2 linked regions of the Coturnix japonica genome follow. The protein of the gene in region 1 purifies or fractionates together with the protein of each later gene. This does not show direct contact. Links are inferred from orthologs where the notes say so. Each region holds a gene or a part of one and is shown on either strand. Other genes may lie near its edges.

Region 1 (3,563 bases):
TACCCAAAAATTGCTGTCTGGAAGGTACCAGAGTATTTTGATCATTACTTTAAGCTGAAAACAAAAGCTTGAACTCTAGATTGTAAACCCATTGCAAAGGCCAAGTCCTCCTAACCTAAGCAGTCAAAGTCCAGACAGTCATTCAAGAATTTCAGGAACTTCTTTCAAAGTCACCATTTTATGGCAGGTCTCAGCAAGTCAGGAGACTGCCTGACACAACGCCATGTGCTCTCCTGGCATCGGGCTGGGTCAGCATGCTCCTACTTACCGGCACAGAGGTAGAAGATGCGGCGCTGCTGGCAACAGCTGGCTTTAGGGAGGAGGTCAGCAATTTGGCCACCCCTTGTGTGCCCCCACTAGAATCTCCATTTGAACCTCCTGGAGGTGCCACCAGAGTCAGCTTCTGAGAGACAGGAGTCTTCTTCACTGCAGAGCTCGGGGCTGGCCGGCTGGATGCCTGGCTGGAGGAAGGGGTCTGCATGCTGGGCAGCAAGTTCCCAGAGGAGCAGCCCTGGTTTGCAGACGCTCCCGATGAGGAGCTGCTGGAAGAAGCCCCATGCTTGGAGAGGGATCCAGAAACAAAGGGTGATTTATAGGATTGTCCTGAAGTGCTAGAGCCACTTGAGTGCTTTCCTGTATAGTTTAGAGATGACGATGATGAGCCTGGGCTTTTGTGAGAACTGCTGGAGTTTTGGGTGCTGCCTGAGGCAGCAGAGGAATGGAAGCTCTGAGCTTTGGTTGATGACTTGACCTGCTGGAGGAGGGAGCGTTGGGGCAATGGGGAGGAGGACTTGGGGTTCTGCAGTTTGACAAATGGAGCCGGAGAGGTGAAAGTTTTCTGTGGCTGGTTGCTTGAGTGGAAAACCTTCACCTGAGTACCTGGCACCGAGGTGGAGGTCTGAGGCCCATGGCTTGGTCGGACCAGGCTGTGGTGCTTCTGTTTAGCCTGGTGTATATCAGGAAGGATTTTGCTGGGGGAGGCTTGGCAGGAGAGCTCTTTATAATTAGAGTTCTCTGTCTTTTTGTCTTGGGAAGTTTGGCCCAATGCGAGGGCCTGTTCAGCCAGGAAATTTAGAGGAGACTGGAGGGAACCAGCAGAGGATGTTGTGGGAGCAGGGTGGGCCTTTGGAAATGTTCTCTTCTCTTCTGAGGATGCAATAGTTGGAATCTTCTCAGGTGGAGCTTTTGGAGCTCCAGGAAGAGGAAAGTCAGGGCTCCCTCCTGCTCTGCTGTTCAACACAGCCAGTTCCTTGGAGACTGCTTCAAGGGAGGAAGTAGGATTATGAATTAAATCTTCATCCAAAGAGTTGTCCATGAAGGCAGCAGGAGTAGTAGTGCTGTTGGCTGCTTGTGCTGTCCCAAGGGACAGGAGTTCTCTGGTCTGGGCACTGATGTTAAGACTTCCTGCCTGGGATTCTGATGACAGAGCTACGGTGTTGCTTGAATGTACTGATGGAACAGAAACAGCCACCTTTTTATCAGGTTTAGAGGAGAGTTCCTGGAACAAAATAACAACAGAAAGCAAAGTCAAAACAGAGGCAGAATGTAATGCTGAGAAGGGAAGGAAAGGTCCCTGATTTTGGGATGAAAGGTGTGATACCTGTCCGATGACAGGTACCCTCCTTCCAGGCTGGTACTCCTGCTGCCATCAGTTCTAGCTGCTGTCCTAATTCTTTCCTCAAGCACAGTGCAGACTGCTGCTGTTTAAGAATACAACTTCCTTACATCTATGCATAGATACAAAGCTCAAGTATAGGACCTAGGATGGCAGTCTCTCAACTACTGGGATATATCAAATGTGTGTACCAAAAAACACAGAACTCACCTTCCCCTTCACTTTAGTAGGAGCGACAACCTTCTTCTTCGCCCTGTTTCAAGGGAGACAAAGAAAACATGGGTTCACTGAGTGCCTGTAGGGAAGCATCCAGTCAGGGGCCCTGTTAATGATGATCCACTGAGTCTTTTGCAAAGAACAGAGGCAGCATCTCAGGTTGCTAGGATTCAAAATCGTATGACATTTGTTGCTGCCCTAGGAAGTCCCAGCTCCCACACAGGGGAACGATTTAGGGAGCAGAGCAGAGTATCTGAAATGGTTGCAGAGCAGTGAAAGCACTCAACAGACACATCCTGCATCAGCTGCAGGGCTACGAGCTACAGAAGCCCACTGCTGACCTAAATATAGCAACACCCAGAGAGAAATGGATACACAGGCTATTTTAGAGGGGAAAAAAAACTACACACTTCTTTTAGATTCCCAGAAGAAGTCAAAGATGCAAAAGCATCTGCCAAATTCATGGAAAATAGATCATTTGGTCTGGTCAGATGCAATCACCGGTACAAGACATCCCTGAGCTGCTGGAGAGGTATGGCTGAGGGAAGGATGACTCTACATTCTATTTCATACCCTTTCTCTGCTTCCCCTCATTCATCCAATGCCAAGAACAGGACCAGCTGTCAAACAGATACCAGCCTAAATCTATATCGTTGTCTGTTACATGCTGCCAGCAAGATCCATGAGGCCCTTAGGCCTTAAGGCACCTGCCCAGCTGGATTCCGATGGATCCCTTGGTTTGTCACCCACAGGTCTGTTTCTCCCATTCTCATTGCCTTGAGCTCATCGTACCTCTGCTTTAATCTGGCAGCAAGGAAGAGGGAATCCAGAATCCAGTAAGGATTAACTGAATAGGTGGCAATAAACACAGTGCTGGCACCACAGTCCATTTTACTCAACTGTCTCCCAGGGCCTAGCACAGAAGCCTGACTCCAGCCTGCTGAACAAGGCCAGGAGGCAACCTGGCATCAAAGGTCATTCTCTGAGCCTGCTGTAAGGCCCAGGCACCTCAGAAAGGCTTTTGCTGGGAGATGTCACACACCACTTCTCTCCTTAGACCTTCCCAAATGAAGCAGCGCCAAACTGTCTGACAGGAGCCAAACAAGCTCAGGTGTTCCTGCACGATCCACCCAGGCCCCAGGGAACGCAGATCACCAGTTATCACTCTAAAGGAATGCTGCACGATACTCACAGGACTGATGTGAGGTGTCCGTGTACACGCCTGCTCTCCTTAAACAGTGTCCTAAGAAGGGAAGAGAGCAATGAGAAGTGATATCCAGCAAGACCCAGTAGAGCAGCTGGGATCACTGGAGACAGAGCTGCACAGAACAGCAGGGGACTTAGTGAAATTAAAACCATGGAGCAAACAAATATTCATCCATTTTCAAGGAAAATCCTCTTGAACTCCCTCACTCCATTCCCTCACTGGGGAGCTAAGCTTGTAGGCGCTGGAAGGGCCATTAAGGCAGTGTGGTTGGACAGTAGCTAAGGAATGAGCTGACAGTCAATTGGAGAGACAGCACGGCCATTCAGGCTGAGTGTTGCTGCTACCAGAGATCATCAAGAGCTGGCAGATCATCCAGGAGCTCTCCACCATGTTTAAGGAAGAGAGGTTTCCTTTCCCTTCTTTATATATAGCAATATGGATGAGAAGCCTTCACACACTGCATTGCTGCTGCCTTTGCATCCCAAAAGACAGAAGTGCCTTTGCAAATCAGCAAAACCATTTCTT
Region 2 (4,025 bases), on another chromosome or scaffold:
AAGCTTAGAAGAAAAAAAAATAATAATCCAAAATGAAATGAACCAAATAAGTTCCCAGCAGGCACTTGTGAATCTACATGTGATGCAACACTGGGAGCACGGAAGGTCAGAAATGTTTCTAAGCTGTGATAATGGCTGCTCACTATCAAGTATGTGCAGCTCTTTCCCATTTCCTCGTCCCTACTCCCCAGCCTTTTCTCTATCTTTAGCCCTTCTTTTTCACTCCAAAGCGCTCTGCTCAAAATATCCTGGTAGATGACAAGCTGCTGCCAGCCTGAAACCTCCTGGAATGTTACAACGAAACTTGCCCAAGGATCTTCCCATGGCACATCTCTGTGCAGATCAGTCAGAAATTATTGGCAATTTATGTTTCTTGATAGTAATAGTAGCTTGTTGTGAGGAGTCTCTTCTACTGTGCCCAATCTGGCCTTTCATCTGACACGAGGAATGCTAAAAATGTACACTGAGCAACAGATGAGGCAACTATCAGACACTTCTTTGTCAACACAGAAGCATAATCACCTTTCCAAACCTGGCAGTGGCTTGGAGGACGGCTAAGGGCCTCACTGTAGACATGGCAGCACTCTGCTGCTTGCCTGCATGGCTCAGGCAAGATGTCTGCTCCGTACCTTCCTGCCGCACATTAAGTGTTCCCCGCAGGCACGATTACTGCATGACCACGTATTTATTTCCTCCGGGAATCGCCTCTCACGCTGACGAGAAACACCTCACACCCCCAGCCCGGGGCACGGCTCTCCCCAGCCCAGCGGCGGGCGGTGACATGACATATCCCCGCTGCCATTCCCGCACACGGCAGCCTAAAATGGCCTCCTCCAAGGGCCGCTTGTGTTCGGGGCGTGCGGCGCTGCCGGAGGCTTCACTACAGCACAGCCACGGGTTGACAGCTTTCTGGAGGCCGCTCACACAGCGGACCAGGGCTCGGTCGGGCAGTCCCCAGTCAGCACGTAACACCTGACACCTCCGGGTTCGCGAAAAGAATTAAAAAGAATGAAAACACGCCTTCCTCGGGCACTAACAACCGGCAAAACCCACAGCACATGGCGGAAACCCACGCGCGAGCAGGGGCGCGGCCTACGGCTCCCGGGGCCGCCCCTCGGCTCCGCGCTCGGCCCCGCCCGCTCGGCCCGGCCCCTCCCCGCTCTGCGCGGCCGTTGGCCGGCGGCTGCCGGGCGGTTTGGCGGCGGTGTCGGGCGCCGGCCGGGCGGGGGCGCCGAGCGGCGCGGAGGGGCCGGGCGGGCGGCGGCGGTGCCTGTCTTGCCGCCGCTCGGCGGTCGGCTCGGCTCGGGGAGGAGGGCCCTAGCCCAGCGCGCGGCCAATCCGGACGGGCGCTGGCGGAGAGCAGGGCAGAATGGGCCGTAGTTGAGTGAAATAGGAAAGCTGCGAACAGAGTGGAGTGCTCCCGGTGTAAATAAAAGGGGGGAAGAAAAGTTTCCCCAAGTCGCGGCTCCGCAGCCTCGCTCCGACGGGGGGCAGGGGGCTTCGTGCGAGGCGGAGATCACCGCTCGGGACTTTGCCGTGCGGCGTTCACCCGCTCCTCCTATTGTGATTTTTTTCAAAATATGGCAAAGGTTCAGGTGAACAATGTAGTGGTGTTGGACAACCCTTCTCCTTTCTACAACCCTTTCCAGTTCGAAATCACATTTGAGTGCATAGAGGACCTGTCGGAAGGTGAGTACCGCTCTCCGGACGCGGGTTCGGCGGTGCCCGGGCTGTCGGATGCGGGGCCGGGCGGGCTCCCTTCGGGCCGGGCCTGCTCCCGCCGCCGCACGGTTCTCCTCCCCGCAGAGCCGTGCGGCCACGCGGGGGATGCGGAGCTACGGCGGGGCCGCCCGGCCCCGGCCCGGGCAGGGAAAGTTAGCGGCGGAGCCCTCGCTCCGGGGCCGCCGCTCCGCTTCGCTCCCCGCCGCGCCGTCGCCGAGGCCGCCTTCAAGTTGCGAGGAACTTGTTAGAGTGGTGGTAGCCATGTTGCCAGCTTTGTGTGTGCGTGGGGGGGCAGAGCGGGAGCGGGCGGGCGGGCAGGGCGCCGCGCGGCCCCGCGACGCGGGAGCGGAACTGTTGCGCGGCCGTAGCGCTGCCAACGGGAGGTACCCGCAGCGCGGGCAGCGTTTGGAGCGTGCGGTGCGGGGCCTCACGGTCCATTTTAATACTTAAAAGGAGGGAAGGAAAAAAAAAAAAAAAGAAAAGGAAAAAAACAGAGCTGGAGGCCGGGCGGACGAGCGGGCGGCTCTCGGTGGGCGCAGTGCTCGGAGCCCGGTGGGTGGCGGTCCGGAGGCGCGGAGCCGTGCCGGGAGGAGGGGGAGGCGGTAGCCACTATTTTTGGAAGTCACTCGAAAGTTACCGGCTGCCGCCGGGGGAGGCGGCTCGGCGCCGCCCTGCACGCCGCCCCGCGGGGACCCCGGGACGGGAGACGCGGCTGAGGGACCCTTCTCGGCCGGGCTCGAGTCCTCCCGTCCGCACGGCGGGCCGCGAGCAGCCCCCGGCCCGCTGTGGGCCGGCTCGCTCGGCACGATGTGTCCGTGCCGCCGGCAGGCCGCGCCGCGCCTCTCCGCGGGAGGCGCCCCGAGAGTCCGCGCGGGAACAACCGGGCGGGAGATTCGAACGCGGCGGCGCACGGCGAAGGAAGCGGCGGGATGAGCGGCACCGAGAGACAGGAAAAGGCCGCTCCGATGGAGCAGCCACAGGACAGGTGCCGCTATGGGGCACAGTGCCGCCTGCTCGCCGGGGAACCAGGGCAGACAGCGGGAGGCAGGGAAAGAAACTCGTGGCAGTAGAGAATGGGGACGTTTCTATTGCTGCTGTGGTTCAGTTTGCCTCCCTCAACACTCGGCGCGGGTTTCTGTCCCTGTGTGGCGGGTTGGCGGTGCTGTCAGGAACTTTGTCAAAGTCCTGTCTGCGTTTGAGGTTCCCCCCACGCCTCTGCCCCCTTCCTAAAACTGATCAGCGTCTCAGTTTGAGCAGCCCGCGCCATTAAGCTCCGTGCACATCCCGATGCTGATGGCTGCTCCTCCCTGACTCAGGCAGTCAGGGCTCACTCAGGACAGCAGCACCTGAATCCTCACACAGCAGTGCCTGCAGCAGCACAGGCACTAGGCATCACCTTGCCTTTCCTTTGGTTTGTGACCACTCCTAACTGTGTGTTTAACAGTGCGATTAATCTGGACAGTCAGGATGAGAACTGGAGGTGGCCCAGTTCAAAATTCTCAGTTCCCTTCCCCCATCTGACAAAGGTTAGGCTACAGGATATGTTTAGGGTAAGCATTGCTATCTTTCACGTTTAAAAATGAGGTTAAACAGCTTCTTGAAGAGAATGAATTGCTGTCATTTCCTTAGCGTTTGTGTGCTAATGTCTGCTCTGCTGTTTACAGCCAGTCCTGTGCACCACTGGTCTTAAAAGTAAATTAATTGAGTTCACTTCCCCCGTCTTTAAATTATTCCAAGTCATCATGTATCAGCAGTATCAGATCAACCTTTTAAAGGTATAAGTTATCTTCAAAGGCTTGTTTTTCAGTACCAAGTATTACTGCTTTAGAATGAGTTTGTTTTCCTGGAATAACTGCAAGTGATGGTATGATAACCTTAAGCGATCTAGCCTCTTATGTCCCCACTCCTTGAACACAGCAGATTACATAGGCTCCAACAGAAGGTCACCAGCTGACCCAATGAGTGCTTAGTACCCCAGCAGCCAACACCAGGTGCTTATGGGGTAAACAGAATCTCTGATGCAGAACCTGGCCCGTTGTGCCGTGCTGTATGAGGGGTTACGGTTTCATTAATGAGGAAAAAAATCAGTTGCAAGCCTAAATGCTGGAGACATTCCTACAGACTGAACAAATTCTCATTACAGCTCCCAGCAAGTAAATGGGCCCTACCTGCTGTAGGAGAATCGCAGCTTAACCAGTCTATGAAAATAGAGGGGCTTCTGCAGACTGGAGAAAGGTGGTGGGATGGCCTAGTTTATGAGGACTGGAGAAAGCATCAGCTTCCCTGATAAAGACAAGTTCCCT

The links.
Region 2: the proteins of UBN1 (region 1) and ASF1A purify together in Homo sapiens (affinity purification with mass spectrometry; 6 studies listed by BioGRID and IntAct, counting the BioPlex papers as one, with this or other methods). This does not show direct contact. The link is inferred for Coturnix japonica from reciprocal best matches to the Homo sapiens genes UBN1 and ASF1A.

Annotation. Positions count from the first base shown.
Region 1 is NC_029529.1:11,642,104-11,645,666, reverse strand, and holds part of UBN1 (ubinuclein-1), read right to left. Parts: intron 3,075-3,563; coding exon 3,024-3,074; intron 1,869-3,023; coding exon 1,826-1,868; intron 1,499-1,825; coding exon 269-1,498; intron 1-268. UniProt on the Homo sapiens protein: Acts as a novel regulator of senescence. Involved in the formation of senescence-associated heterochromatin foci (SAHF), which represses expression of proliferation-promoting genes. Binds to proliferation-promoting genes.
Region 2 is NC_029518.1:57,106,820-57,110,844, reverse strand, and holds the start of ASF1A (histone chaperone ASF1A), read left to right. Parts: upstream 1-1,194; 5' UTR 1,195-1,580; coding exon 1,581-1,689; intron 1,690-4,025. UniProt on the Homo sapiens protein: Histone chaperone that facilitates histone deposition and histone exchange and removal during nucleosome assembly and disassembly.